4 linked regions of the Oreochromis niloticus genome follow. The protein of the gene in region 2 interacts with the protein of the main gene of each other region in a pairwise test. Links are inferred from orthologs where the notes say so. Each region holds a gene or a part of one and is shown on either strand. Other genes may lie near its edges. The genes, in order: prr13, klhl12, pdgfrb and segment polarity protein dishevelled homolog DVL-3.

Region 1 (7,260 bases), on a different chromosome or scaffold from region 2:
TTCAACTCTGCCTCCTGTCTACCAGACATCATTGCAGGAAACCTTTCTATTTGCCCTTGCTGTTATCCTTCTGGGACAAATCATCCCTGACATTGGTCTCCACCCACTCCACCCTCCCTGCACTCTCTTCACTCTGGATGGTTGACACCAGGTATTTAAATTCACTACCTCTGCTCCTTGTATCTTCACTATTAAACCTGTCTCCTTAGTGAGCATGACATTTATTACAATTTCTTTCTTTCTTTTTTTCTTAAAAAAAAAAAAAAAAAAAAAAATCTCGATTTTTCTCAGCAATGTTAAACACACCAAATACTTTTTATGTAACTCCATTTATTAATACAATTTATTTATTTAACTTTAAAATGAATGATATTAACAAGCAACAGTTCTGCAGCCATGCACAGTAGTGATCATAAAATAAAAAAAATTAAAAAAAACAATTATAGACAGTATACCTTTACTTAATTAACTATATTTTCTATATCCCTTTTAACTTAATTACATTAAGAAAATCATCTGCACAGTGCTGCAGTCTCTTTTTCAGTTATCTACATGTTTGTCATTGTAATATTAGAGAATAGTAACAGTAGATAAATTGCAACATTTCACCTAAAAATCACAAACCAAAGTTAAATTCAACATGAGGTGGTATCCCAGTGCTGATTAAAGTTCTCTCTCTCTCACACACACACACACACACACACACACAAAGAGCTGCTGTATGCATTTCTAGTGTCATACATATATAGTGACCATGTGAGATTTGCTGTGACTCAGCAAAAATCTGCAAAAGGCTATAAGAACTGCTTTAATGCATTGACAGTTAACTGTTAACAGTTAATAGTTGCGCTGTGCTGTTGTTACACAGCTTTTATGTGAAAGCCATGCTTCAAACCAGTCGCCTCAGTCTGAGTCGCTGCTGCTGCTGCTGCTGCTGCTGCTGGAGGACTGTGAAGACAGAGACAGGAAATTATACATCTATCAATAATTTTAAAACAGTTAAAATATAGATTTAAAATTATAAACAATGTCTGATCTGCTTAAGCCATCTTCAACAGTGAACAAAGAAAGACACAGTTTTAAAAGTCACCATCTTTGAAAACTGTTTGCTCTTTTCACTTAAAACTGGAAAATTAAACCATAAACTCTGACATTCTAAATTTAAACCCAGTCTCACCTTGCCATGTTTGTAGTGCTTATGTTTGTGTGCCTTTTTCATCTTCTTGTGCATCTTTTTGTTTGCTTTGTGCCCCATTAGCCCCATTCCCATTCCTGCAACTCCCCCGGCTAAGGCTCCAGACATGGGATTTAGCCCTCCATGATGAGGATGAGGATGATGATGACCTTTGTATTTGCCGCCTTTGGGGGAGTGTGGATATGGACCTGGGTGAACACCTGCAGGAGGAACAACTGGATATCCACCTGGAGCCATAGGATAAGGGTGAAGTCCAGGAGCTCCGTAAGGCATCGCCCCTGGTGCACCGTGTGGTCCCATGGCTGGATTCATAGGAGCTGGGAACTGGCCAGCAGAGTATGGTGGAGGTGGAGGCTGGGGGAAGGCTCCTGGAGGAGGGGCAGCAGGATAACCAGTATTGTAGCCAGGAGGAAAGGCTGGGTTTGGTGGACCGACTGGTGGAGGAGGACCTGATACAAGTAAAAGCGCACATCCATCTTACACACTGTATGCTTCAAAACACCTAAGCTTTTAAGCAATTATAGACACACATAATAAAACATCATAATTAAATGGTAATCATGTTTGATGTCCTACCTTGATTTGGCCACATGGTTTATATATATTGAACTAACTGAAAAATCCTAGAGGAAAGAGAAAGGAAATGCAGTTTAAACATATTGGATTAATTAAAAATGACACTGTAAATATATCACTCAGTATATCTTGATTGAATTCTTGATTCTACCCAAATTAAACAAACAACAGTTAACATTTAATCAGTGGCTTCTTCATTTTTCCAGATCAAAACCAGATATTCACTTTACAAAGACACAACAAAGGGAAAAGCAGTCGGTGCTTACACTCAACAACAATGAGAAATATCTGGTGGGGGATTTTTTTGGTTGTTTTTTGCTTTTAGTAACCATGTTGACAAAGAGACATCAGAGCCAGAGGCAGTTACTCACCTGATCACCTTTAGCTGTCACGGTTTCTCATTTCACAATTTGTGTTTGGTGTACACACAGATGCACAAAGTAAGCCGTTTAATGCGAACACCTAAATAAAACTAAACCGTAGTAAACCCCTCCAATTAATCCTCTCTTTATGAAGGTCGTGATATCTGTCATCTGTTAGTTTGTTTTTAAGTGTTTACCGTGGAAACGGTTACATTTTGTAGCACTTCAGTACAGAACACGGCTCATCGCTGCTATAAACCTTAATACAACACACATCAAAGGCTTAAATGCCGCATGTATACGCTTACAGAAGAAGACCTGACAAAACATGAAGTCTGAACATGAAGTCATAATTGCTCAACAGCTTGTAAATCCGCAACACTTTCTCCATGTTTCTCCACACAGCAAGTTCAGCACACTCAGTCAGTCGTTATTGTGAGTTTTAGCTGTTTGTCCCAAACGAGTCATTTATAATAACTGCATCAAAATCTAAAGATTTCACAGGTTTTACCTTGGGAACTTACCTCGATTGCAGTGAAGTTTCAGGAATTCCGAAAGAGCAGTTTCGTGTTTGTCTTCCGCACCCAGCTCCCGGAAGGCTTAAAGAAGCACACCAGGAAGCCACGCCCTTTGGGAGGAACGCTGCGGACTTTATTTACGCAATGGCAAGAGTCCATCATACCTGGGAACATGGCTAAAACAGAAAACAATCTGAGTGATCTTTTTTTAATGGGAGGAGTCGGGAGTTGAGGTGTGTGTCGTGACACACATACACACACCTGACTTGACACTATTGTTATTTTCACCTATGACTCATGCCCTCATGGTAGCACATAAAGCCCATGACATCATGGATCAGCACTTGGAAATTGTTCAACAATACACAGATTTCAAAACCTTTTATACAATCAGTTTACAGCAGAAATGATGGCTGCAGTGAATTACATCGTTTAGGTTTACTGTCCAGGAATTGAGTTTTTTATGCTTGTCACCAATGACATCAACACAAGCTCTGTTTAATTCATAAAAGTTTCACAATCAGCTAAAACACATTCTAAGAAATAAACTCTAAAACTGACGCTACATTAAATTTATCCATAAATAATGTTATTATTTATTCGCTATAATCAGTGTGATATTTCAGAATATGATACTTAAAAAGGCCTTTTGCGCATAGGTATGACCTGGGTTGTCTCACTGGAATACCTGAGTAAATATTCAAACATATTACATACATCCAGTTTTTTCAGTATGTGGAGAATCTCTTGACGATGAGTACAGGTTCATAATGTAAAGCCACCTGCAGATGGAGACATTTGAGCATAACTGTGAACGTAAAAATTTACCTTTTTTAGTTATGCTGTACATAAATAAAGCTATCACAGATGCCAAGTGAGATGAGCTTCAGGGCATGATGGCTGGATAAACATCCTTCCACACATGGGCTCCATGGATCTCTTACTGGTGTTTCACTGTTAATCAGCCACAAAATGCAGTTTGGAGAATGTAGGAAGAGAAAAATATCTAGTCTAACTGCATTATTTACCACAAAGCTGAAGGTGAAATCAAAAATAATTTTAGCTATCATTTTGTTATCACAGACAGCAGGAGGTGGGATGAAGCTCTTCGTTTCTGGGGTCGGTTTCCTCAAACTTTAGCTTTCCCGGCTCAAACGTCATGGGTTTTTTTTAACATACAATAAAGAAAAAAACTTAATTTTAGAGGGGAAAAAAGGTCATATAATAACGTCAGCAAATTCGTGCTAATTTAGCCCTCAAAATCACATTAATTTATTTTCGGGCAGCTTTGAACTCAGCGGGCAATTAAAACGAGTAATTGAAGGTGTGTCTGCAGGTGTGCAGGAGCGTAGCTATACCTCACAGGCTAGCAGGGTGCTATCCACAGTCTAGGTTAGCCACACACACAAGAGGCGACAAAGAGGCCAATAAATTAGGATTTGGTTACCTGTTTGTTCAGATAAACGTATCCTACACAGTTTTATAATGTTTTGAGGCTAATTTTGGTGATTTATCTGTAGGACACGGTTTTAAGGATGAATTCGCTCACAAAGGAGCTAGCTGATGTTTTTTGGGAGGACTGTGAAAATGATGTGACATTTTACGGCTTTACCGACACTGAACTCAAAGATGAGGTAAGATTTTGTTTGGTTTTAGACCTTTAAAGCTTCATATATCCATACTGCGGTGACCAGAAAGCCAAGTACTAACTTGGACTGGTTGTTTATGTGGGACACATTAGGCTGACAGGTGGGTTAAATTGTTTATATACTGTCGGACATTTAAAAAGGGAAAAAAAAGCACCAGCTCTACAAGCTAATGTGTTTTATTTGAAGACGATTTTCACCACTTATTCTGAGCATCAATTGATGCTAACCTCCTTTTTTTATGATCTAATAAATCTGTGTTCTCTTTTTCTTTTGTAATGATTCTTAAAGCTGTAAATATGTGTGGATTTTCTCTGGCAATAATTATAATTGGCATGTATTTTGGTTGTTTCACGATAAAGTGTTGCCAAATCCAGTAATTTTACTCTGCATTCATTCAGACAGACCACTAATGTAAAGGGATTTGGCCAAAAGATCTGTTATTCTGTGTTGATATTCAGCAGAATTGCAGTTTTGGAGATGAAGATGAAGCTCAAGCTCAGCTGGACATTTTCCCCAAGGAAGAGGAAACTAAATCTAAAGCATCTGCTACTTCTACAGTCCAGCCCTTCAGGCTGAGGGTGGCTCTGCGCTCAGCTCCCTCTACCCAGCAGTCTACGGACGATGAGGATGCAGAGGCGGAGGAGAGGACGACATACAAGAAAGGAGTCAAAAGGACAGGACAGCGCAATAGGACAAAGAAGGAGAGACACGTGAAATTTGAAGATGGCGAGGCAGCAGCGGCTCGGCCTGCTTCCACTGAGGACCGAGGTTCTGATTCAGCAGATGATGCGTCGGACACTTTCCTGGCCAGAAGAGAGCAGAACATTAAAGCCAACAAAGCCATGGTAAATCATACACAGAACCACATACCGAGTTTAAAATGTGACAAACTGATGTGAAAACAAACAAATGTGGTCTCAGGGACTAGTGCTGAGAGGACTAAGCCTTCAGGAAATGTGTGAATAGTACAATAATGCTTTCAAGTGCTGACCTTCTACAGTGATTCATGTTGCTCATCTTTAACAGTTGGCTCAGCTGATGGCAGACCTGCAGAAAATGCCAGGAGGTGCAGGGCTGCTGAAGAAACAAGCAGGCAAACAGAAGGCAAAAGACAGAAGCTCTGTGAGTGTCGTGAAAAATGAAGGGATTTTCAGCTAACAGCACATCTTTTTCAGTAGATCTCTGAATTTTTTTTAATTTCTTGATGGATCATATCTCCTGCAGCATCCGCCACGATCTGCTGCGACTGGAGGAGAATCCAGGAGAAACCCAGAGCGGGCGTCTCGCAGGCTGACAAGGTCCATGTCGGGAACGGAGGATCCTTTGGCTGCTGAGGAGGCAGAAGTGGAGCTCAGCTTGGAGGAGGAGCTGCTGGAGGTCAGTTCTGTCACTTATCAGCAGCCAGTTAAAGTCTACAAGGCCTTTGGAGTATTTGTTCAATATAGTACAGTAATATACATATTTACATGTGATTTATTTATTTATTGGTTTAGCTTTGAAGTAGATGGCAGTCAAGAAAATCTAATAAAAATTAGTGTTCAGAATCGTGCATATGCTTTCCTTAGAGAACCAGAGTGATAAGGAGTGTGGCAGTGAGTGAAAGCCATCATTTTATTCTGCTCTATTCTCTAATCTGTTTCTTGCCCCTATCCATGTAAAACTTGAAGCTAAGTGGATTATTCTTCTCATCATGTGTTTCAGGTACGCCAAGCTCCACGGCGTCGTGGCGTCCCACGAGGTAATCGAAGCAAACCTCACATTATTCGTCCGGTAGAAGAAATCACAGAAGATGATCTCGAGTTGGTCGCAGACAACATGACCGAGAAAGTCTACAACAGTGTCACCGTGAGTTTACTGCTGGTATTATTCAAACCCCGTTAACACTCAGTGTTACCAGGTGATCAGGATACATGGTTGGATGATGACTTCTGAGATAAACACTCTTTTTAATTCTGTACACATTGCTTTCAAATAGTAATAAACCGATTCTTCAGGCTTTCGTGGCAAGCTTGTCTGTGTCCTAAGGTCAAGAGAACATCTGACATTTATTTTTAAACCCCTTTTTATGAGTGTACATTTGTGACCTCCACCTTCTGGTTGGTGCTTTTAAGTGGGATTCATGATGATGCGATTGCCTTTATCTTTGGCTGCGTAAAGTGAAGTATTTTCTATATGCAGCCAGTGTTTTTGTACATAGCCTGAAAGAGATTAAGCTTTCTGTAGGTCAAGTGTTGATTGACTGAAAAGGTAAGGGAGCGACAGTAGAGTTCACCACAGGAAGAAATGCCAAAACCATGCCATTCCCTTTAAACTTAATTTAGGCTTCTGCTCTGTAGAGGCTACAACGAAGCCTGCACAAGCATCCAACACTGTTCCCATGTTTATGCCTGTGCAGCTGTGTTTCCATGACGTGTGGTTACATTTGTAGAGAGGTGCACAGCAGGTGACGGTGCAGCTTACACAGAAGGGTTTGAGGTTACGGTTTACCTAAGGTGTTGATTTACCAGAGACAGATAAATCCACTTTAGCCTGGTGGCATAAGGTAACCTAGCTTGGTATGCTTTTTCTTTTTTCCCTTTTTCTCCACCTAATAATGATAACACTGCAGACTGCATAAACACCCAAGAACTGAGGGTTGTTCTATGAATCAAGATTAACGGCTTAGTCAGCTATGTCAAGCTAGACTTTTATGTACCATGAAAGTGTACCTGGTTAAATCACCATGGTCAGGAGCAGATTATTTATGTTCATTAAAGAATCTTAATCACTATTGTATCACATCATCAGATAATGTCTGGAGTAAGCAACACTCGTAGGGGTCGTTTTGTGAAGAGTCATGTGACCTGTGAAATGAACCTTTTATCTGAGTGTGCACAGAACCTGAAGCCGAGAGACAACCGATAAAGATAAACCACCGTCCTGACCTCAGACGAGTGTTTTTAGGTTTATTTGAGCCAGAA
Region 2 (7,111 bases):
CAAGGTACAGCTCTGAACTTACCTTTGAGCTGTAGCAAACACGCTGCAGGGAGCAGCTCTTGTACGTTCTCCACCGTGACGAGCACAGTCTCTGTGTAGACAAAGTCCAACAAGATCTCCATAGTGGATGCCGTGAGCCCCTGAATGTCGACAAAAGATTTCCCCTTTTCTGCAAGCTACAGAGCCACAACAACACATTTATTTGAAGGATTACTTTTGAGAATCATCCTGCATTTTAGGCAAATGTAACACCACCTTAAAACACCCAGAAAGGCCAACAAAGAAAAAAACAGAATAAAAGAGTGCATCAGGAATGTAACTGGGGCATCTATTTTTCAAACATTATTACCTCGCTAGTGAACATGGCACAAAAATAGTCACTGCAGGCAGCCAAGACGATTCGGTGAGCTGGAAAATCAGTGTTCTCCACCCTCAGAGTGATGTCGCAGAGTGTGTTGCTCTTGCGAAGTGAGTTCATTGCATTGAGGATGGATTTGGCATGGGAATTGGTCATGATGTCTTTGGGAGCCATGCTGCTTTGAGAATCCCTTACGGATCTCAAACTACTAAATGAATCTGGAAAAAAGACAGTCTATTTTGAAAACATCCTTTGGGAAGAAAGGTATTCCACAGTAAGCATAAAAGCACGCCACAATGTCACATTTTTATATACTGTACAAGCAAGTCATGCAGCTAGTGAGTGTGTGTGTCTGTCAGTAATTTGTCAGTTGGGTTGAACTGCTGGCTATTCACAAGATAAGTTTGTGACACTTTGTGGGAAATGATAACAGATTTTTGTCACTATTTTACACCCTTTTTACAACATTTTGTAAAAAAAAAAAAAAAACCCAAACCCCTCCCCCCCCAAAACCTAACTGCTAATGAAAATGTACATGAAAAAAACCCCACTTTATATTAACTTTTACATTATATAATACTTACTTTGTATATATATAATTTGTATTGTGTATTATTTCTACATTTTTTTCTTGGCAAGGACAAGAAATAGCATAATTTATTCTGCTTACAGGACAGCAATGGAGAGAAAATACTGACTATCATAGAAGCACTATAGTATTTATAGTGCTGTATTTGCTCGACTTCTTGATTTATTTCTTGCAAACAATGACTTGACTTATTAAGGGGGAAAAAAGCTATCCAATCCTACCTGGCCCTGTGTAAAAACAGAATTGTTACCCTTGTTAAATCATGAATTAACTCCAATTAACCACATTTTTGGAAATCAGAGTTCAATTACACTTGCCACACTTTGGTCTGATTACTACCACACCTACTGAATCAAGAAATCACAAGAATAGAACCTGCCTGACAAAGTAAAGTAGCCCAAAAGTGCTCAAAAACCAACATATCATGCCATGATCAAAACAGATGAGAACCAAAGTCACTGACGTCCATTTCTAAGGCTTTGGGACTCCAGTGAACCACAGTGAGAGCCACTAACCACAAATGAAGAAAAAATTGGAACAGTGGTGAACATTCACCAGAGTGGCCAGCCTACCAAAATTACTCCAAAAGCCCATCGATGACTGATCCAGGAGGCCTTAGGCATGTCTCACATTTGCCAAAGAACATCTAAATAAACCCCAGAACTTTTGAAAAAAAAAATACTCTGAGGACTAAAGTTGAACCTTTGAAAGGTTTGTGTCCTGTTACATCTGATGTAAGACTAACACAGCATTTCACAAAAAGAACATCATGCCAACAGTGAAACACGGTGGTGGTAGTGTGATGGTCTAGGGCTTCTTGCTGTAATTCATGGAACAATGAATTCTGCTCTCTACCAGAAAATCCTGAAGAACAATGTGAAGTCATCAGTTTGTCCCATGGAGCTCAAGCATAACTTGGTGCATAACATGAGTTATGCAGCAGGATCTGAAACACATTAACAAGTCTGCCTCTTAACGGCTCAAAAAAATAAGATTTTGGACCGGCCTAGTCAAATTTTAGACTGAAACCAGATTAAGATGCTTTGGCATGACCTTAAACTGGCCACTCATACTTGAAAACCTTCTAATGTGGCTGTATTAAAATCATTCTGCAAAGAAGAGTGGGTCAGATTTTCTCCACATGTGAAAGACTCATTCCCAGTTATCACAAAGACTTGACTGCGGTTCATCCTTCCAAGGGTGGTATAACAAGTTATCAAGGTTGTAGAGGGCAATTACTTTTGTCCACACAGGGCCGGGTAGGTATGAATATCTTTACTCCCTGAATAAATTAAATCATCATTTAAAAACTGCATTTTGTATTAACTGAGATTACATTTGCCTAATTTTAAAAGTTCTTTGAAGATTTCAAAAATGAAAAAAATAACAACTCAGAAATGGGGGAAATACTTTTCTCATCACTCTACTTCTTGTAGAAAGGTTTAAATGATCAGTTATTTCTATGAATAAATGCAGCATATTTAATAATGCTAGTCAAATAAATATGTGTTTTTTTTCCTTTCCAGACTTTACATTTTTGGAACATTTTTCCACTACAGTCTTGCAAATAAAACTTACCGTTAAAAGATCTGAATACTTTTTCCACCACTGGGAGGCAATAACTATAGCTACACATTAGCTAGCAGCAGCCAACGACAGCTGACGGCTAACGCCAACGCTAACAATAACAACTACGAAAACACAGCAATATAAAGTGAGCTGACGGCCAGAGGAAGACAACACATGGAGCGACACACACACAAAACAACTTATAATAATACCTGTCGCAGCAGTAAAAACGTCTAGCTAAGTTGCTCAGCTAGCTAACGTTAGTAGCACCAAAGTCCCCCTGTCCCAGTTCTTTGCTCCCAGTCGCACTGCCTAAACAAAGCCCCTCAACTACAGCTACTCCATGACGACCTCTGCCGGGTCACTCTATGCACGGCCACCGTGAGGACACATATATCGGAACGGCATCATATTAAATCCCGATGGGATTTTTATCCAGCTATAATATCCCGTTGACTAAACTGCAGCAGCAGAGCAGCGACTCCACAGATTGGACGTAAACAGACCATTACGTGAGTGTACGTGCGCGTCCCCCGAGGAGACCGCCCAGACGCGTTTCGCTCCAGAAACAAGATGCCTTCCGCGCATGCCCGCTGGTCGGCCTCAACTGCTGCTGTAGGAATAGTAAAATAGCCGTCTCACTCAAACTAAGTGACAAATCCGGATTTGACGGGGGCTTATAAACCCAAAGTGACACACAGAGAAACGCAGGAGGAATTTTATCTCTTAAAAAAAAAAAAAAATTCTGCTCTCTTTTTTTTGGTCACCCAAGGACGGCAGCTACAGCAGCAGGAGGAGGAGTTAGCGGCGTGTTTCCGCTAAGAGCAGGCCGAGACGGTAATCTATGCAGCCGCACTGAGAATTACAAAACAGCGGCAGACCAGTTGGCAGCTACTGCGAATAGTTTGACTGAAATTTGTTTAATCTTCGGGGACTTTTGGTTGTTCGTATCGGGAGGCTAAACAACGAGAGAGTGAGTGGCAGCTGGACTGTCAGCGATGGAAGCTGAATTTCGGGAAATCGATGAAAACGGCAGCTGGAACGCCATTTATCAGGTAAGAGCTCTTGGCAAATTAAGGTGGAAATAATCAGACCGTAGCTGAAGCTGGTTAGGCCAACGTGTAGCTTATGTAAGGTGAGGTGGTAGCTATAGTTTCTCTGGCTATATCAGTGTGTTGGTGTTTAGTTCAGCGCCTGTTCTTCCTGCTCGGAGTTAACCGATGATTGATGCGTCTGCCCGGGTATAAAGGCAGCAGCTCAACGCTGACTGACGTCATACATTTTTTGGACGTACTAACTTATTTTTAATGATTTGTTCTCAGTTTCGTCTAACATTTCCATTCCGCTGTTAATCGGCAGCTTATTATAATTATTATAAATGTTTGTAATACATTACATAGGGGTATAACACACCTGAAACCGAGTGAAATCGCGATACAAACCTCCAAAATATCGTATCGCGGTTCTATCTCTCCCATACCATGATACACGTAAGGTGTAAAATGCCATAGGTAACAATTCAAATGGAAATGCATCACAATAATGGTAGAAATTTTCCTCTATGAAAAACTTTGCCACATTCTAAAGAAGTTTTAGCCTTTCATAAAAGAGAATTATTAATTTTTGTTGAATGGGGTTTGATTTACTCAAACTTAAATGCATTGTTAAGGGTTTTCAGTGGGGTTAATTTAGAAAAAATAAATTTCTGACAGAACAAATAACCAAAAAAAACCCCAACTGAAACCTGCTTTGAGCCAGGAATCCCCCTCTCCCCAATATACTATTGCATACAGGATTCATTAGTCTGTTATATGTGCCATACAGCTTCTATTTTAATTCTTTAAGACCATATCCTAAAACTTAAAATTAAAAGTACCCCCTGGGAATTTTTTTGTGAGCTAGCAAAAGTACTGTTCAAAACATTTACCAACACATTAAATATTTTCTGTACATTTGTGGTCTACTAAACATGTCAAAGGCATTCACTTCCTCATTTATGATATGAAGTGTACTGTTTAGTTGGGGTTTTTTTCTTTCTTTCTGCGTATAAGAAAATTTGACCTGCTACGCAAACTTCATGTAATCACCCCAAAGGCTCATTTTGAGCCAGGAAATGCTCTTAATGGAGCTAAATTGTTATTCGTAATTCAGTCTTGATCAAACGATCAGACCTGTTGTGGACTTTGGTTTTCTCCCTCGTGTCTTTGTTATTTATCCCTGCTGAAGAAAATTGAATAAACTGAAACTGTGGAACATAAGGTTATGGACTATGATTGGTCATTGAGTCAAATCTCAATCATCTCTCTATTATTTACAAACTTTACAAACATTATGCAGTGGCTGAAGTTAAAACTGTGTTGTTGTTGTTGTTTTTTCACATGGAATCTTCTTTAACTGTTACATAATTCAAATAACATAGAAAAAAACTGTTCAGTAGGCAGGGCTTTGGATTATAAAGCCAGACCAGGTGATGGTCCCTACAAGCCCATAGCTTCCATAGCGGAATGTTTGTGGGTCCAGATGGGCGAAACGCTGTAATAGAGTTCGGCCGTCTTGGGAAACCTTTAAAGCAGCCTCAGATGAACCACAGAGAACTGAAGCTGACCGCAAACTGTTCAGCATTGCCAAAAGCAGATAGGGTGACAGGCCCTAAGTGATCTAGAGTTGGAAACGGCTGCAGTCAACCATTAATAATCTTTCCACAGGTTCACCTACCTATGCCTTGAAACTTTTTGTCCCGCTGTTTAGCTCTCTTGCAGTTATATTGCCTGCAACTGAACTAAACCGCAAGTTTAAACTTTTTAGGAAGAGGTGAAAGCAAAATAGGTGGGCTTGGAACATGTATATCATGAAACAATAAAAACAATGAAAATGAATGTTGTTTCTTGTTTTCATAATTGTTGGAAGTCAGAATTGACATTTAAATTAAACTTTCATTAACCACCCTAAGAAAGCAACCAGCAAATTTCTGGTTTCAGAAATTTGATAACCCCCTCCTCATATTTTAGGGTAGTCTAAATACAAGCTTTTGACAGTGTTAGTATTGAGGCAAATATAATCCTGATTGTTATTGAGATAGCTAGAGGAAATTGTAAAAGGGTCATCAGTGAATGTCATCATTGTTTTGTTTGTTTGTTTGTCTTAAAGAATACAGCAGTCACACTCAGAGCTTTTTAATGTGGAGTGGATGTTGTTTTGTTGTTGTTGTTGTTTTTTTTAAACAAAACGAAAAAAACCCTGCAAAAACACCAAAACTCTGCTTTAATGCTTGTTTTCCTCCTTTTATTCTGTTACAGGAGATTCGGCAGCAGTCGAGTGAATTCCCTTGTAAGGTTGCCAAATCACCTGAAAACAAGAATCGGAATCGATACAGAGACGTTAGCCCGTGTAAGTTTGTCTTTGCTTGCCTCAGTGTGCTGGACCGCAGAGTCTGAAACACTTAAAATATTCCCACAACTCTCAAGGTGTTTTAGCCACTAAAATTACATTTAGGACCTCATTATATACTCGTATACTGGTTTCATTTATCTAGGGCAGATATTTTAAAATGTTTTCATGTAATTAACTAGGGTTTTCAGTGATTTTAAGCATCACAGTTATGCCAGGTTTTTATGCCAAACCTTCTGTAGAACAGATACATTACCTGAAACTTAACCTGCCTCTTAAAGCTAGCACCATGCACACAGAGGTTGGTCACAGGGATATAGTATTTGGGTAACTGTGATAGAAACATTGTCCAAATGCCCCTGAAAGTAGCAGATTTGTTTGTGTCCTGCCTGCCAGCTCTGGTTGCTCAGTTGTCAAACCGCATGTGCTTCAGGATATCTCTGAATCTTGCTCTGCATCTGTGAACTGTGGTTCATTGCAAAACATTAAAGTGAGTGAGTACAAGTGGAAAATTACAATAAAATCAAACACTGTTATGTTTTTAAAAAAAAACAACATGCTCACATTTTCACACAGCTTTCTATTATCTTTGCCACACCAAAGGGGTTATTCGTGTAAGAAACTATGAAAAGTTGTGGAATGGCAAATGTCATGTCATGTCATGTCATGATAGGAACATTTTTCTGATTCAAAATATCACAAAGGCACATATAAATATACAGCTGGGGTGATAATGCGACCTCATTTGAATACTTGAAGGTTAAGTGAATGCCACTGTGGGTCTCTTTGCTTGGTACTCTACCCGCAGTGTTGAAGGGTCTGTAATCTCCTATTTATGTTTAAACATCTGTGGTGAAGTCACAGCATTATGCAGCATTATATAAACACCTAAGCTGTCTGCTGTTTTAGTAGGTACAAGCACTGTAATATCAGTTTGAAGTCAAGTAAAGGTAGTATTGCGCAATAGAAACAGCCTTGCATGACTCTAACTGGCGTGGCATAGTATTTCCAGCTAATTTATTACTGAGTGTCTCAAAAACACCTACACAAGGGGAAGATCAGGGAAAGGGGAAATTAAGTTTTTTTTTTTTTTTTTTTTTCAGCAATGTTTTTAGTATCATCTATTTTTTTAAGCCTTGAAATAAATGGTAAAATAAAAAGCAAAAACAGAAACAAGCATTTCCTCTATTTCCTCTCTTTTTTTATCT
Region 3 (7,551 bases), on a different chromosome or scaffold from region 2:
GTACATGCAATGAGTATACAACAAGAGAAGTACTAAATGAGGAAGTAGTCTCCTAATAGTCTTCTAGTAATTTTCTGCACTGTATCCACATTGCAATGTCTTTTTCTTTGCGTGATTATGACACCTTTCTTTGCGATTTTAGGCTTATCCCCTTCTAAAAGTTTGTTATTGTGCGACGAGAGTATATATATAATAAATCAAATGAATGTTTCCTCAATGAACAAACTCACTTCCTGTCTTAAGATGAGATGCAGCTGCCTGACAGCTCTGTGTGAGTGGGAGGGAAACAATGAGGGGGGAGGCCAGATGGACAGCCAGCCATACAGGATGCTTTACTGCAGCACCACTTAGTGCTTTTCATTAAAACTGTGTGACTCAAGTATAAAGTCTAAGCACAGTATGAAAGAACCAGCGACGTACAAAGAGGCACTAGACTGATAGTGTTAAGAAAAGCAACAACTCATTCAAAAAATATTGGTGGTGGATAATGAGTAAGCCAATGAGTGTCCACCAGGGGATGAGTCAGAGTTTGTTCTGTGAATCTGAAAAATGAACCAATCCGTGTCACGATAACATGATGTGAGAGTGTGTAAGTATTTTAACTCAGTGTTTCCTCTATAAACAAGTTTTTTCAGATGAGGGTTGCTCAACTTTGAGTTGAAATCACAGAGGATAAATGAAACGAGGACAGAATGGGATCAGTATTTTTCAAAAGTTGTTGTTGAACTCAAAATGTTACATATCTGCACATGTGAGTTAAATCAGACTCCTGGCATGTTTTCTGCATGGTCATAATGTGAAGCACATTTGCTCAAAGCTGCTGGCATGCAGAAAGCCTAGAGAGCCAGGAAACAGCTGATGTCGACGGATTAGGTCTGGGCCAGGGGGAATGGAGCCGGCTGGGCTGCACTGCATCGGGGCCGGAGAGGAGCACTCCGCTGGAGTACATACCAGCAGCCTGACGCAAGACAGGAAAATCCCCACTTGTCAGAGTCGAAATTAAACTAAGTTTTGCAAATCTTACAATAAAGATTTGTCACAGCAGATTTAGTGTTTTATAAGTTGGTGCTGTGAAAGTAGAAACTGAATTTAAAACTATGAAATGAATGCAATGCAGTCTAGCACCATTGATGGTAAAAGTATGACATGCATGCAGTCTTCCAGCGGTTCATCTACAAAAACAATGCCAGACAGTGCCCGGAGTGAAACATCCACAGAGCCAGAGAAGATCAAAAACTTCAAAAGGACACTCCTGTCTGCAGAGGAGGAGAAGAGCATCCACAAAACACATGCCAACAACGTTTTGATTACAGCAGATGCTAATTCAAATGGTTTCATGTCAAAAAGGTCCCCTGTATGCAGAAGATGGATGTGCAGCTACCCAACCCAACAACTTAAATACCAAAGCAACCATACACAACAGTCAGGCGGGAAGGCTTTCAGGTGCAAAACACGTGTTGGAAAAGACATGTATGCCACATGTGTCACAGCCATGAAATGGCTCACAGTGCTATAATATAACTCACTCCAGCTACTAAAATCTTCTGATGAACAGGAAGCAATGATTCAACTGATTGTTTATGTCGGCTCTCAACTTCTTGAGATGAGACCAGATTGATTTTACGAGATATTTACATTATAAAAGGGAGACTGAGTCATAAAACTATAAATTTAAGGTGGTATGTTTCCTCCAAAGAGGATGCTGTTGACAGTGATAGACGCTGGGTCTGATATCAGTTCACAGCCATGGCTCTTCAATGAGCTTCTTCATGAATCAATGCAGAGAAGATTGAAAAGGGAGGAAAGTGACCGATGGTTTGGTGGTGAGGACCGCCACTCTGGGTGACTGAAGAGGGCTGTACAAACAAGCCCTTTAGCAGGGAAGCACAAAGTGGAGAGCGTACAAACAGCTTGTACTATAAACCCTACTGTGTTTGTGTGTACACTAGACCCCGGGACACCTTGTCAAATGCATTCTGTTAGTGGGAAAATAAACAATGTTAAAGTTGTCCAATGTGAAAGTGTCAAACAGTTGCTGTGTACAGAGATGCAAGCCATCACTATGTTGATGTTTGAACAGGTTGCTTACGCTCTTTCACGCAGCGTTGCAATGGCTGTTGTGTACACACACACACAAGTATGTGGGTAACGAACACCAGCAAGAGACAGCAACAACATCACGAAGACCTACAGGTTGTTCTCTTGTCAAATCAAATCAGATTTTTTGTTTAAAAAAGCTATACGAAACTTGGGTCCAGTGTTCAGGATGAGGTGCGTCTGTGTCAGATGGCTGTGAAACTCAATCTGTCACAGTGGGCTTCCCATACAGGATAAGTGAATGTTCCCCACTTTGCACGGCCCTTTTTTACTTCTGCCAGCAGATGTGGAGCAGCTGTAACTTATACTAAAATACTTGATGGTGACAGAGAAGTATGCTTCTTACCTTCAGACGAACCCCAGAAGCACAGAAGAATCTTTCCTCTTTGACCAAGAAGGTTGTCGGCCAGCAGAAGGAAATTGGAGAGACTTCCAGTGAGATGTCTCTACAGGGGCTGCTGCTTCAAATGTATAGATCCCTCTGATGTTCACTCTGAGGTTAATCTCTGCTGTCCCAGGAGTCCGTTGGAGGAGGTACTGCAGTGAGCCCGGCTGTTTGTTTAGTCAAATCACATCACCATGGGTGTCTCTCTCTCTCTCTCTCCACTCTCACACTCAGAAAGAGTGTTCTAAGAAAAAAAAAAGTTCCCCACAGAAACATGCACACACGCACACACAAACTGTGCACACTCCACCCCTGACAGATCCACACTAAGCAGAGCGTCAGTGTCCACCCCTGCTGAAGCTGAGAGAGAGCAGGACGAGGGAGAGGAGGGAGGGAGCAGTGAAACAGAGCTGAAGCAGAAAGCAAGAAGTTTCTAACAGAGTGACGAAACTTCAAAATACAAATCCAGTTCTGCTTGTTGTTCTAAGGTAGAGGCTCAGAGGTCTGAGCCGGAGCGATTTGTTTATGAATGGAGTGGAGGTGAACTGAGACAGTCTCTATTGGCAACGGCAATCTGGACCGCATCTAACCCCCTCCATAAAACAACAAACACAATAAAAAGGAGGAGAAAGAGTGAGAGAGTGAGTGAGTGGTCCAGCCAGGAGAAAAAAAAAAAGGTTTTGGCAGCGCTGATTGCACCCTGCTTTGGAAACAAACATGGAAGTCTCAGTTTCTCAGGAAAAATAACTTCCCTTATATAATCACACTCTTAAAAACAGGTATAAAAGTGGTTAAAGGGGACTTTAGTGAACTAGCTTTGTTTTTTACATCTCTTTTTATATCATATTTTTTTTCAAGTGTTTTCTTTTTCCCCTGCATGAAATAACTCAACACCTCCCACCATCCTCACCCCCTTCTTTCTCCTTTTTTTCCCTGGCCTTTTATCCTCTCTTTTATAAACACAAGCAAAACCATGTAAATATGTCTGCTCTCAATACTAGCCTTCTTCCTATTTCAATCCTTTCCCAGGATATGAGAGGATGATCTGAGATTCAGAACGCAGCACTGCAGCTGAATAAAGACCTGTTCTATCTAACAAGCAGGTCGGGGCAGACGGGGGGCGGAGGGGAACAGGAGCTAAATTGGAAACTAACATGTTCTCCTCTAATTGAGAGGGCAAATCTAAAAGACCTGCTCGCACTAATTAGAGTGCCAGAAAGCCCCCTCCAGTTATTAGATAGGAGGGGAGGAACACCACACAGGGACAGTTCCTCCTTTTATATCTTTCTAATTCTGCCTATGTAATTAGCACCTACTTGCAATAAACCTGCTCTAAATCCACTTATTTGAACTCTTGAATCTATTTGTAGGCGTTTCATTGCTTGTAATGTCAATAAAACTGTAGACCCAAAAGATAAAAAGGCAGTAATACAGCAATAACGTGCTCGTCAGTCACGTATGTAAACACTCATGCACACACAATCCTTTATCAGCATGAGATAAGACACGAACTCTGTCGAAACACCCGCAGAAATTCACCGATAATAACAGGATGCTAGAATCTTAGGGGGTCTTTTCATTTTATTATCACATGTAATTTTAGCATCTTGATACAATGCAGTGCTGAAGAGAGTCCACAACGGGATGTCTATTGCTCTATATATGGCAGCACTCCTTGTTTACCCCCACAGAGTGGAGCAGCTCTTAACAAGTGGGATTCCAAAATATTCTGCCTCAACAATACTGAGTCTCTTCAGCCTGTCAGCAGCTAACAAGAAGTTTCTATCACTGCTGATCTGAATTAGTGTTATAGCTGGAGTGCAAAGCAGTGCAAACAGGCTCTACGGTTGTTTTCCTGCTGGGTTTCAGGAAAAGGTAAAAGTTACAGCGCTGTGTTTGTCAAGCACAGGCCATTATAGAGGTACAAGAGTTGAGACAAAGACCTGTGGAGGCAGGGAGCATGTATACTAAAGTCTAGACCTGGAGCTGAACCTGCTGCACCTCTGATAGATGAAGACTGAGGGAAATGTTTGAACTACAGCTGCCTCCATTTTAAGTTGTCCCGATAATAGATATATGACTTTGGGGCACCTTAAAGCTTGATTTCGGCAATGTGATCTGGGACTGAATCTGAAAATGAACCACAATAATAAGACATTCAAAATAGAAAACAGCAAAAATCAAGAAGAAGCAATACAACATAAAACATCATCATAACAGCATCATCACATGTGAGCTGATGTTTATTTGCAGGGCTTTTATTAGAGCAGGCTTCCAGTTGCCTTTGTTGCTCCACACCACACACAACAACTCCTGTCAGGTCTCAGCAACCTACTGAAATGGGGAAGGCTAGCTGTATTGGTCAACCTCCCCTTACGCCATTTCCTGAACCCTTTACTCCACCCCCCCACCCACCCCACTGCAGCTGATCTGCAAACTACACCCCGCCTCAAACACACATCCATCCACTTTCTTCTCCTTATCCAGTTTGGGGTCTTAGGGGCTCTGGAGCCTGTCCTAGCTAACATACACCAAAAGGCGACATACAACTCGGTGAAGATGCTATCACTCGCTAAGACACGGAAACAGACAGCTCACATTCACACCTAAGGCCAGTTTAGAATCACCAGTTAACATAACATGCATGACTTTAGATTGTGGAACCCACAGAGAACCCATGCAACCACAGGAAAACCTACAAACTCCACACAGAAAGGCCCCAGCTGGGTGGTGGATTCAAACCCAGAACCTCCTTCCGTGAAGCAACATTGTTAACAACCACACTGAAATGGTTAATCCATTAATCAACTAGTTTATTGTAAGACTCAGCAACTACTTTAAAAACTAAACCAAAAACAGAAAACCTTCCATGGTTCCAGCTTCTCCAGTGCAAAGAGTTTCTGCTTGTCTTTGCCAAATGTTGTGATCAATTTACAAATATTTAGTTTAGGGCTACTGTTCAAATGGAACGATTTGTTTGATCTGGTGCTTCAAGAACTAGTTATGGGAATGAATGAGATTAAATGCTGAACTGGAGGAGAAATGAGAGAAATTGCATCCGCGCCCTCTCTACACTCACATCTTAGTGTGATTTTGTTGCATGGTGTCTAACGCATTGTCAAAAAAGAGAAGGCAAAGTGGGACAGACAACAGAGCAACAATGCATTTGCTATCTGTTTTGCATTTAGGGAGAGGCTTAAATTTAAACTAAATATATAACTAACCACGATTCTACTGTAAAGGGTAAAACATTCCCTAAACCAGCTCTCTTTTTGGAGCGCTGAAAATTTTGAATAGATCAAAAAAGGAAACAGGCATCTTAAGGTCAAACAGATTTAAACTAAATCTCTAAATGTGGGATTATAACTATACAGTAATGGAAATGTTTAGGGTTTATCAAGGTCAAACTTTACTTTGTACATTAAGACATACCCTCATAAGTGCTTTAACCACATTTGTTTATTTTCAGGCAAGCTGGTTCGCATTGTGGTCGCCATCAATGTATTTCAAGCGTTGGATGATATGTTTTCATGTTTATGTTGCAATTTCCTTAATGTTCAGGCCACTTCCATTAACATCAGCCAGCTTCCTGCTAACAGCTGATAGGCACTGTAGCTGAGAATGATTATCTTGATATTGACATGAATCTTTTATGATAGTTCAATATAGATGAGCTCATGCACGAGCTTGATAAGTGCAATATATAGGATAAGGCACGGTGTCAGCTGAAGATGGAAAGAATAAAACGCTAACAGCGAGAATGATGATGATGAATTAACTGTGTGGATCTTTTTAACAACAGGTCAGTTGTATGACTGAACTTGAAAGACTCCAAACCTGGAAGGTTATCTGCTATTACTCAGCTTTTTGCTGCCCTCATATGGATGTTTTGAGCCATGACATAGCAGGGAGCAAAGCAACTTTGCTTTTGCTTGACCTGTGTCCCTATTAAGAGCCTCGGTGTTACTTTTGACAGTGCTTTTAAATTTGACAAATAAATCAGCTCCGTAGTCAAGGGATCTTTTTATCACCTACGGATTTTAGCTAAAGTCAAGTCCTACCTGTGCAGGAACGATCTAGAAAGGGTGGTCCATGCTTTTATTACTTCACGGCTGGACTACTGTAACTCCCTTTATGCTGGTTTAGATCGTTCCTGTTTGCATCGCCTCCAACTGGTGCAGAACGCTGCTGCCCGCATGCTGACCGGTTCCAAAAAGAGAGACCACGTCACTCCGGTCCTCTGCTCTCTCCACTGGCTCCCAGTTGCTGTTAGGATTGATTTTAAAATTTTACTGCTGGTTTTTAAGGTTCTTAACGGTACTGCACCTCCTTACCTGGCAGAGCTTCTTAGCATTTACTGCCCCAGGAGATCTTTGAGGTCAGCAGACTTGATGCTTTTAGATGTTCCCAGGTACAGATTAAAGACTAGGGGAGAGAGGGCTTTTGCTGTGGCTGCACCCAGACTGTGGAACAGTTTACCCCCTCACATCAGATTCTCCACAAGCCTAGGAACTTTTAAAACTGCTCTTAAAACTCACCTCTTTTCATTGGCTTTTAGCAAGGTTTAACCTATTGTTTTAATTTATTGTTTTATCAGTGAGGTATTTTATGTACCTGTGTTTTATAGTATTTTATATTTGTATTTTATTGTACAGCACTTTGGTCAGCCTTGGTTGTTTTTAAATGTGCTTTATAAATAAACTTGACTTGACTTGACTATTGGTCTTACATCAGAGCAGACTATAAATAAAGACGCTGGAGTGGTATTTCAGGATTTTTATCATGTGTTTTCCTGGTTAATCAAGCTCACAACACAAAGAATTACAAAGGAGAACCATTTTCAATTCAAATAGGAGAAAAACCCGTGTAGTCTGAAGGACTACAAATGTATATTAAACAGCTTAAGAGAATAAAAAAATTCTTTATACTTGCCATAATAATGATACTGAAGTGTATTATCTGGTCAGAGCCATAGCTGCCACTGAAGGCAAGCAGGCCATTTCTACAGCTATGTTTTCTACATGTTCTAATGTTCCTGTGATGTATATAATTAAAATATGGACTTTAAC
Region 4 (7,951 bases), on a different chromosome or scaffold from region 2:
GGACATACTGTAACAGAAATAACATTTGACTGTACGTGGAACATATCAACAGCCCTCAAGAGATAACAAACACTTTGGAGCAAACGCACACAAAGGGGAACTGGCTTTTAAACACATTAAACTAAACCTCTGCGCAGTCTAATGAAAACGACCACAACAAAGAGACGCATTAGGACGAGCACGGTGGAATATACGCTCCAGAATGGAGCAATAACGCCATGTTGATGATGCTCAAATAATTAAAACCACACTGTAGAAATTAAGCGAGTGCTTTAGCCTTTCACATCACGACACAGAGCAGTCTTTCTCTCTGCTTTATTCTCTCCTCCCTGTGAGATTCAATCTTCTTGTTAGATGACCTGCAGTGAGGCCCTTTGTTATGGAGTATTTTCCGGCTATCCTGTGATTTCACTTGCTCTTAATCCAATTTCAATGTCGAGAAGAGAGGAAGGAGGGCCGTGCACGAGCGCCAGATGTCTCGAATGTTGTGGAGACAGGCGTATTATTGCTTAGAGGCTTTAAATAAGAAATTGCATGCAAGTACATGTATGTGCTATATGCGGCAACTAGCCTGTGTGAGGACACGCTAAAAAAAATTGATATTTTACAGTGAAAAAGAAAAGGTTTAGGAAAAGCAGTGTATGTATACTGCTCTGAGGATCGTTATGTGATAATGATATTATTACACAGATGTGCAGTGCCTCCCCCTAAGCTTGAGCATGACTGGGGTAAGTGCCCAACAGATGGTAATCATTGTTACACATTCATGTACGCCACTTAACCACACAAGTTATCGCACACAAGCAAACAGTAAAAAAATAAATAAATAAATACATTTTATTGCAGCGTGTATTTTGGACCTACCCATGACACCACGCGTCCATTGAAGCAGGGCAGCTTAGCATTGTCATCAGATATTTCTTCCTTTACCACCCTGTAAAGAGAACAAGGCTTTGTTTCAGTCAAACATTACCAACACAAAAGCACTCCCTGGGCAATAAAACATGAGGGTGCATTTAGAGGAAGTGGAGCTGGACAATATATTCCACCAACCAGGACGGACGCTGACAACTGGGGACAGTTTTACACATTAAGAATCAATGACAATGTTCAAAATAACCAAATGTTTGACACTACTGGCACACGCACAGAAAACCAGTCCAAAGATGGCTCACTTGTCCATTTCATATATAGAAGTAAGCCTTAATGCATTACAGACTGCTGCAAATACATTAACAAAAGGCATGTGTAAATGTAACCATGTGAATTTCCTGCAAACCCTCCCATTCATTCAGTCCTGCTTGCAAGGATCAGATGGCAGGCAGATCTTAACAACACCTTGTTACACAATGAAGAGGACAAATAAGGCATGTATTTAACAAGTGCCTCAGAGTATTGGAGATGTCAAGATTAGCCGGGTCTTTGACAGGGAGAACACTGATGGTCAGTGAGGCTTTCCTGGTAAAGATCTCAGGCTCCAAACCAGTCTAACAAGTTACTAAAACACCATCAGTCTAGACTTTAAGGATTCAGCAGCTAATTTAGTGCATGCACCTCCACTCTTGAAACAACACAAATAGCTGCGGATCCTTTCAAAACTCGTCCTTCCTATCTAGGTTGTTGCCCCACCCTTGTTTGAGTTTAGCCAGAAAAACTTTGGCAACCTGGCTCGAGTGTTTAAAAAAAAAAAAAAAAAAGTACATTTCTCCCTTTTATTTAACTCTGAAGAAGGTAAAGTGTGGAGGATCATAAAACGTCTACTTTTCTGGCCATGTTTTAACACAAAGGGACACGCTCATAAAGCTGCCAGAGTGATGAACAGGGCATTCCTGTGTCCAACTTTGCATTCCTTAGGCTAATAGACAACAACAGCAGGGGCCTTCTGGTCTCACTCACTCACCAAGTGTCCGGTTAGACCCATTCATTAGCCTGCTAGCATAAGCGTTTCATACATTAGGCAGCAACTGACAGCTGTAACGTCAATAACTAGTTAGTAACACTTTTCTGAATTGCTCCTTGTTTCATTTAGTCTTCAATAAGTTGAAATGCGATTAAAGGCTTTCTTTTAGTGTTCATGACACTGGAAATGACCAAACTTGGTAAGACAGTACAGCATAAGCTAAGCACGAGCAATGTAAACAAACGGGGTCGGGACGCTGAACAGACCTGCTAACGATGCGACCTGGACGCTAGCAGCTAACAAAGGAACAGCAAAGCAAACGGCTAGCTGATGACTGAAAGACAGGCAACCTTAAAAGTGATGACAAGCCAGCTCCACGAGGTAACAAATATGTTACAGTTAATCTGACTGGACTGAGGTTAAGCAGACTCGGGTTGCTATGCTGATTCCACGTTAAACACAATGAACCCTTTAACAGTTACCCGAAGTCATCGTCCATAGATTTGAAGAAGAATTTGTAATTTGGTTTCTTGAGGACATTTTTGAAGTCTGCCAGCGTGACTTTGTCCGCCGGCACCGACAGTTTCACCAGATATGGTGTCTCCTGGTCGTCGAGGTGGTAGATAATTTTGGTCTCCCCCATCTCGGACTGCGGATAAGGCAAGGCAGACTGGGTGCATCAAGCCAAGGGCCTGGCAGGCTCCCTCTCGGGCCCCGACTCCCCGTGGCGCTGGCGGCTGCGGCTGTGCCGTGGTCCACCCGACTCTCTCTGGCTGACCGACCCGTTCCGTAGTGCCCGGTTCTGCCTTTTTTTTCCCCTTTCTTTTTTCTTTACGGCAGCTTGCTAACGTTACGTCTGACTCTCTATTAAAAAAACACCTTGCTGTTCCACAAAGCGTCCAAACACCGCCCCAGGACTGAATTGCTTTAGTTTCCGTTTGTGTAAAACCTACAATATATCACAAAAACCTTACAAATAAGTGAGAAAAACAGTTTCAAAACGGCGCAAAAATAAACAATCTCAGAAGGGTCCGTACTCCCTTCTCGCTAGCTGCTCGGCTTTACTTTGTTGCACACGAAACTGCATAAAATCGTCCAAGCCTGTCTCGGAGGAGCGCCCTCCGCAGGTGAGGAGGAGAGTGACAGCTTTTCGAGGACAGCTGGGGCACTTTAACTGCTCCCATACTGCTCTGGCAAGGCCATTAAACGGCCTTTAAGCAGTTTTGAAGCCCCACAGACCACCCACAATTATATGATGTTATACTTACACAGAGCTTCAATATGTTTATACTCAAAAGTTTCCAATTTACAGCTGAAACCTTTAGATGGATTGCAAAGAATAAGACCATCATTGTCAGTCATCATTTTACTCTCTTAGAATTTGGATCTTAATCACTCTGAAATTAAAAATTTCAGCTGTGACACAAAAGACAAATGGAAAATTCCCCTTTGCATTTTAAATCTGGAAGGAGGGGGTTGGGGGAATGTAGGCCCTCCCATCATACAGCAGAGAATTGGCATGGAGGGAGAGGTTTTGAAATCAAACGACATTTTTATTTGTGTATGAATTTTGCTGACCCCTTGTAATTGCTATCATAGCTCACTCAGACTGAGAAGAAGTCCAATCAGAGTGATTGAAAGGCAGTAATATTTCAATTTTGTTATCAAGATTATTTGTTTTTCCCACATCAGCAGGTCAAAGAACTTAATTTATGACTGTGGATCATGGTTAACATTCTTCAGTTTATTATATGGCCATTGTTCACACTTTAGACATGTTTTATAGCACATGAAATAGCAGACAGGTGTTACCGACATTAATGCCGGTTATGCTGTATTTAAGCACAAAGCCGTAATTAATGTGGTTATTAACATCTGTGTTTACCTGCTATTTCAGATAAAAATGTGTCTTATTACTCTGAGGTGTGCAGTGAGATTTTACACACAAACACATCTACACTTTTAGATAGCATACATCTGGCTGAAGGATAACATACTTTTATAGTCCTTTCTTTACAGATAATAGCATTTTAATAGAACAAATGCTGTAAATTACATCTTTATAAGTGTAACCATCAAAATATTCCATCTTTACTTTTGCTATTTATCAAAATGTCATAAAAAACAAAGCAAGATATCAAGTATCAAACACTGCCTTTTAAAAACTGAATTATGAACGCAGAAAAGCACAATGTGGAAAGTGTCTAATTGGCAACAGATGACTCTTTTAGCATGACAATCACAAACACACTGTCAATGCAGTTAAAGCAACACAACAGTTTAAAAAGTCTGAAGCTACAGTTAAAGTAGTACAAGATAAAAGTACTCTTTATGGAGAATAAATGATATCTTTTCATACTAATATTGCACTTTGTGCATGTGGAGTAAGTGTTAACTGCTTTCTGTGATGCTAGTTATTGTATCAATACTCAGAAAAGAACCTAAAAGAATGCACTTAAGTGCACTGCAGTAAAAGTGTTTTTGTTTTGTTTTTTTAACATGTTTACGAGCATAAAGTAGTTTAACCTGTTCAAAACAGTTAGAAGATGCACAATGGGCCTTTCTCATACAGAGAGTAACAACTTGAATCTTAGTAAAGGCTGCATGTTAGTCATGTCTGACTTACTGCCACACCTACATGGTGCAACAGAGACACTGTTAATGTTAATTACACAAATGCTGCTGCTGCCAAAAGATGTTTGTAGGTTTTCCTGTTTGTTTTTGACAATTACAAGACTTGCATCACTGGAATTTTTCAAATAATTATGCATTATTATGCTGTTTATTATGCAGTGATGCATGTGTGTCTGTCTAATTTATACAGCTGGCAGTAGAATGGGAGGATGGCATGGCTCAGGCCAGCGAGAGGAAGAGGCTATGACATCCTAAGTTGAAAGCGGAGGTGGAACAGTGAGGTTGGAGAGCAATAGTTTGCACAGTGGAGATTAACAGTGGTTATGTTTCTGTTACTGTACTGGAGCAACTGTAACCCACATAATTTCCTTAGGGATTAATAAAGTATACTGATTCTGATTGTGCTATAACCACCCAAACTCCTTAAAAAGTTAGAGATGTGTGGCCAAGCCGTACACCACACCATCTCAGGAATTGCTCAGTGCTGCAGTAAGTGGCTGTAGATGAGGAGCAAAGACCCCAGCTGGACCCTGACACACTCGATGCTGCTGAGGAACTTATTATTGCTTCATTATTAAAAGCTGCATTTGTTAATTTTTGCGATAACTATCAAGATTAAGACGCTCTTTAGTCAAATGTGAATATGTACAGAAACCAGTTTATTGGACTTAATGAATGTTCACTTGCCACAACAGAAAAAAAAAGCAAAGCAAAAAGCAAAGAGTAATAAAATACAGCCCAGTGGACAGTTTTTCTGAAATTCTCAAACAATAAATGGTTTACAAAATGAGGGAGTCTGTCTACCTTTCTTCTGAGGATAAAACATCACTGATATCATGATCTGCCACTCAAACACTGCAGTAGGCGGATATGACAATATAACATTTTTACGGACAAATACAAAAGAAAAAAAAAGTGGGGAAAAGGGATTTGGTCTCTTTTTCTTTTAAATATGCTCTATAGAGTGCTTGGGAGCAGACTGTTGGCAGGTCTCAATCAATCGTCGAGAAAGTCATCATCAAGGTTAACATCTGTGGTGTCAATGTCATCCAGCTCCATGTTGTCCAGGTCCACCTCGAGCTCATCCAGAGTCTAGGACGGAGAGACACAAACAAAAAGGAAAATCCTTTTTTAAACAATGTTCCATTTATTTGCTTTTACTTCATCAACTAAGAACAGTATGTGCTAAAAGTTGTTTTGTATGAATAAAACCTAAGTCATCACTTCCACACTAGAAGAAGGACTGACAGCATAATAAATCAAAAATAAAGAGCAGAAGTCTTTACCTTATCTTTCTGTGAGAAATCATAGATTTCAGTCTCTTTCTCTTTCTCCACTGCTGCAGGAGGAGCAGGCTCAGGCTGTAAAGGTGTCACCGCAGCAACGGGAGCTGCTGCCTCCTCTTCATCTTGTGTCTGCCAAAAAAAGTGAGTTAAATAAGGGAATTTTAAATTGTACTTGGCACTAATTTCTCTAGCTTTTATTCATTCTTACACCCGACAGAAGCTACAGAACAATGAACAGTAATCAGGTTAATACAAAAGGTACTGAGATATTGATACTGTATGCAAACCTTAGAGACAGGAGGTAGGAAGGTTCCTTTGGGCTCGTATCCTTGGGCCTCTTCAAGAATGTTTCTGTCTTCATTGGGCTGAAAATGTCAGATACAAATTCAGAAGTGCTGCCATATTAGCGATAACACAGATAATTTACCTCAAAACTAAGCATCTTTTTTACTTAAGTCATCATGGACTTTCAGTGAGTACTTTAATGACCGTCTCCTCACTGCATAATTTAAGTATTTTGACCAAAGTCATTCAGCTTACTGTAACAAGTGGATAGTCTTTAGCAGGCCTGGTGGTGCCCAAGCAGGTTTCTCTCAGGTAGTGTTCAGCTGCAAAGGCTTCTTTCAGCCCGGGGAACAGATTCTCATACTCTGTAGGGTCTGCTAGGGATTCAGCCGCCTACAATGAAGATGCAGGTCATGACCAAGAACAGATATCTAGACTGATGCTGATTGAGTTTAACAGCTAAAACAAAAATCTCAAGGACGTAACTAACCTTCTGGTTGACCTTGGCCAGATTCTCCCTCCATAATTTGACCACACGGGACACCTGGCTGGGTAGGTAAGTGCGAGCCAGGAAGGCAGCTTCAGGTAGTCTGTTTGTTCTGATCAGAAGCTCCAAACACTGATCCAGTCTGTGAAGAAAGCACAGCAGCAAGGCATGAATGACCCTGGTAGCCTCATTTTCAGTGTGAACAACACGATTCTATTACACAATTCGCCCCTGCAGGCTCATACATCTCACACTTACTTTCCCTGAAGGAAGTAGGTCATGAAGGCTACATTGTTTTTGCCGTCCCTTTCTGCCCCTTCAGCCAGCTTGCCCACCATGACAGCATTACCGGAGGCTGTAGCGAGGAGGAGCAGGCCACCATAATCCTGGGCATGGTGCAGGCACTCTTGGGCCAGGCCAAACTGGCACTTACTAATAGCCAGCTCTGCTAGCTGCTTCCACTTCTGCTCTGACTGTAGAGAACAGAGTAAAAAATATCAGAAATGTACTGGACAGAAAACCTGATCCATCGTGACATCAAATTACATTTATGGTCAAGCCTTTGATACAGAGTTTGCGTTTGCTTCTGTGTCCTTACTTCTGCTTCTACAGCCAGCTGGTAAGCAATCTTCAACTCTCCCAGCTGCAAGGCTAACTCAAACCTGTGCTCAGGGTCTGTGGACACTGCCAGGGCCTGCTGCTTGAAACCCTGATGAGCCAAAGAAATTGAAGCCTTAAGCATACTTACAACTCAAAAGACAACCATTAAAATAACCTCTAATAGACCAGATTTCTACAGCTTATGTTTAAAGTCCAGTTGTATTTGAAGATGAATGAATCGCCTTTGCTAACCTGTTTCTCCAGGAAGTGTGCCACCCTGGTCCTCTGCTCTTTAGGGATAGTGGGTAGCACCTTGTCAGCCATTCCAAAGTCCCGCCTCATTACAGCAGTCTGGTACTCCAGGACGGAGACCAGCAGGGAGTAGCTGACGATATTGAGCTCCTTGTCTCCCAGATACAGACGGTCATCTTTAGGTATGTAACCCAGTAGGTACATGGTCCTGCAGAAAAGGAAGTAGGTGTGAAAAAGCACCAAGGCTAATTTTAGAGGCTGCTTATTCTTTTTGTAGATTACATATTTACTGTAATAATCTGCGGAGTTTCCGCATTGCTGGACTGTGTTTCTAATAAAGTTGGGAGGGCAATTCTATTCAACTCGAGCCTAAATAGTCTGTATTCTTACCTGTCCAAGTGTGCAATTGTGACAATCTCTCCTCCAACGTAATAGTTGAGTCTGTTTACAGAGCTGGTGTAGATGAAGCAGTCTCCAACCCAGAGCCCAGTCTTGACAATCTCCTGG

The links.
Region 1: the proteins of klhl12 (region 2) and prr13 interact in binary tests that used the Homo sapiens proteins (3 or more experiments, as listed by UniProt). The two-hybrid records come from large-scale screens. The link is inferred for Oreochromis niloticus from reciprocal best matches to the Homo sapiens genes KLHL12 and PRR13.
Region 3: the proteins of klhl12 (region 2) and pdgfrb interact in binary tests that used the Homo sapiens proteins (3 or more experiments, as listed by UniProt). The two-hybrid records come from large-scale screens. The link is inferred for Oreochromis niloticus from reciprocal best matches to the Homo sapiens genes KLHL12 and PDGFRB.
Region 4: the proteins of klhl12 (region 2) and segment polarity protein dishevelled homolog DVL-3 interact in binary tests that used the Homo sapiens proteins (3 or more experiments, as listed by UniProt). The two-hybrid records come from large-scale screens. The link is inferred for Oreochromis niloticus from reciprocal best matches to the Homo sapiens genes KLHL12 and DVL3.

The regions. Positions count from the first base shown.
Region 1 is NC_031970.2:5,714,868-5,722,127, forward strand, and holds prr13 (proline-rich protein 13), read right to left. Parts: upstream 2,794-7,260; 5' UTR 2,658-2,793; exon of another isoform or gene 2,645-2,657; intron 2,563-2,644; exon of another isoform or gene 2,143-2,562; intron 1,819-2,142; 5' UTR 1,788-1,818; coding exon 1,772-1,787; intron 1,645-1,771; coding exon 1,178-1,644; intron 949-1,177; coding exon 904-948; 3' UTR 504-903; downstream 1-503. Other genes in the region: cell division cycle-associated protein 7, read left to right, coding at 3,624-3,692, 4,172-4,285, 4,759-5,145, 5,327-5,422, 5,525-5,677, 6,002-6,145. UniProt on the Homo sapiens protein: Negatively regulates TSP1 expression at the level of transcription. This down-regulation was shown to reduce taxane-induced apoptosis.
Region 2 is NC_031984.2:10,042,647-10,049,757, reverse strand, and holds the start of klhl12 (kelch-like protein 12), read right to left. Parts: upstream 3,004-7,111; 5' UTR 2,729-3,003; exon of another isoform or gene 2,636-2,728; 5' UTR 2,584-2,635; coding exon 2,526-2,583; intron 577-2,525; coding exon 350-576; intron 177-349; coding exon 23-176; intron 1-22. Other genes in the region: ptpn1 (tyrosine-protein phosphatase non-receptor type 1), read left to right, coding at 3,515-3,571, 5,813-5,903. UniProt on the Homo sapiens protein: Substrate-specific adapter of a BCR (BTB-CUL3-RBX1) E3 ubiquitin ligase complex that acts as a negative regulator of Wnt signaling pathway and ER-Golgi transport.
Region 3 is NC_031966.2:25,209,530-25,217,080, reverse strand, and holds the start of pdgfrb (platelet-derived growth factor receptor beta), read right to left. Parts: upstream 3,022-7,551; 5' UTR 2,444-3,021; intron 1-2,443. UniProt on the Homo sapiens protein: Tyrosine-protein kinase that acts as a cell-surface receptor for homodimeric PDGFB and PDGFD and for heterodimers formed by PDGFA and PDGFB, and plays an essential role in the regulation of embryonic development, cell proliferation, survival, differentiation, chemotaxis and migration.
Region 4 is NC_031982.2:12,052,846-12,060,796, reverse strand, and holds the start of segment polarity protein dishevelled homolog DVL-3, read right to left. Parts: upstream 3,015-7,951; 5' UTR 2,544-3,014; coding exon 2,383-2,543; intron 935-2,382; coding exon 865-934; intron 1-864. Other genes in the region: copb2 (coatomer subunit beta'), read right to left, coding at 5,531-5,626, 5,821-5,949, 6,108-6,185, 6,361-6,498, 6,596-6,734, 6,851-7,065, 7,191-7,301, 7,445-7,652 and 1 more. UniProt on the Homo sapiens protein: Involved in the signal transduction pathway mediated by multiple Wnt genes.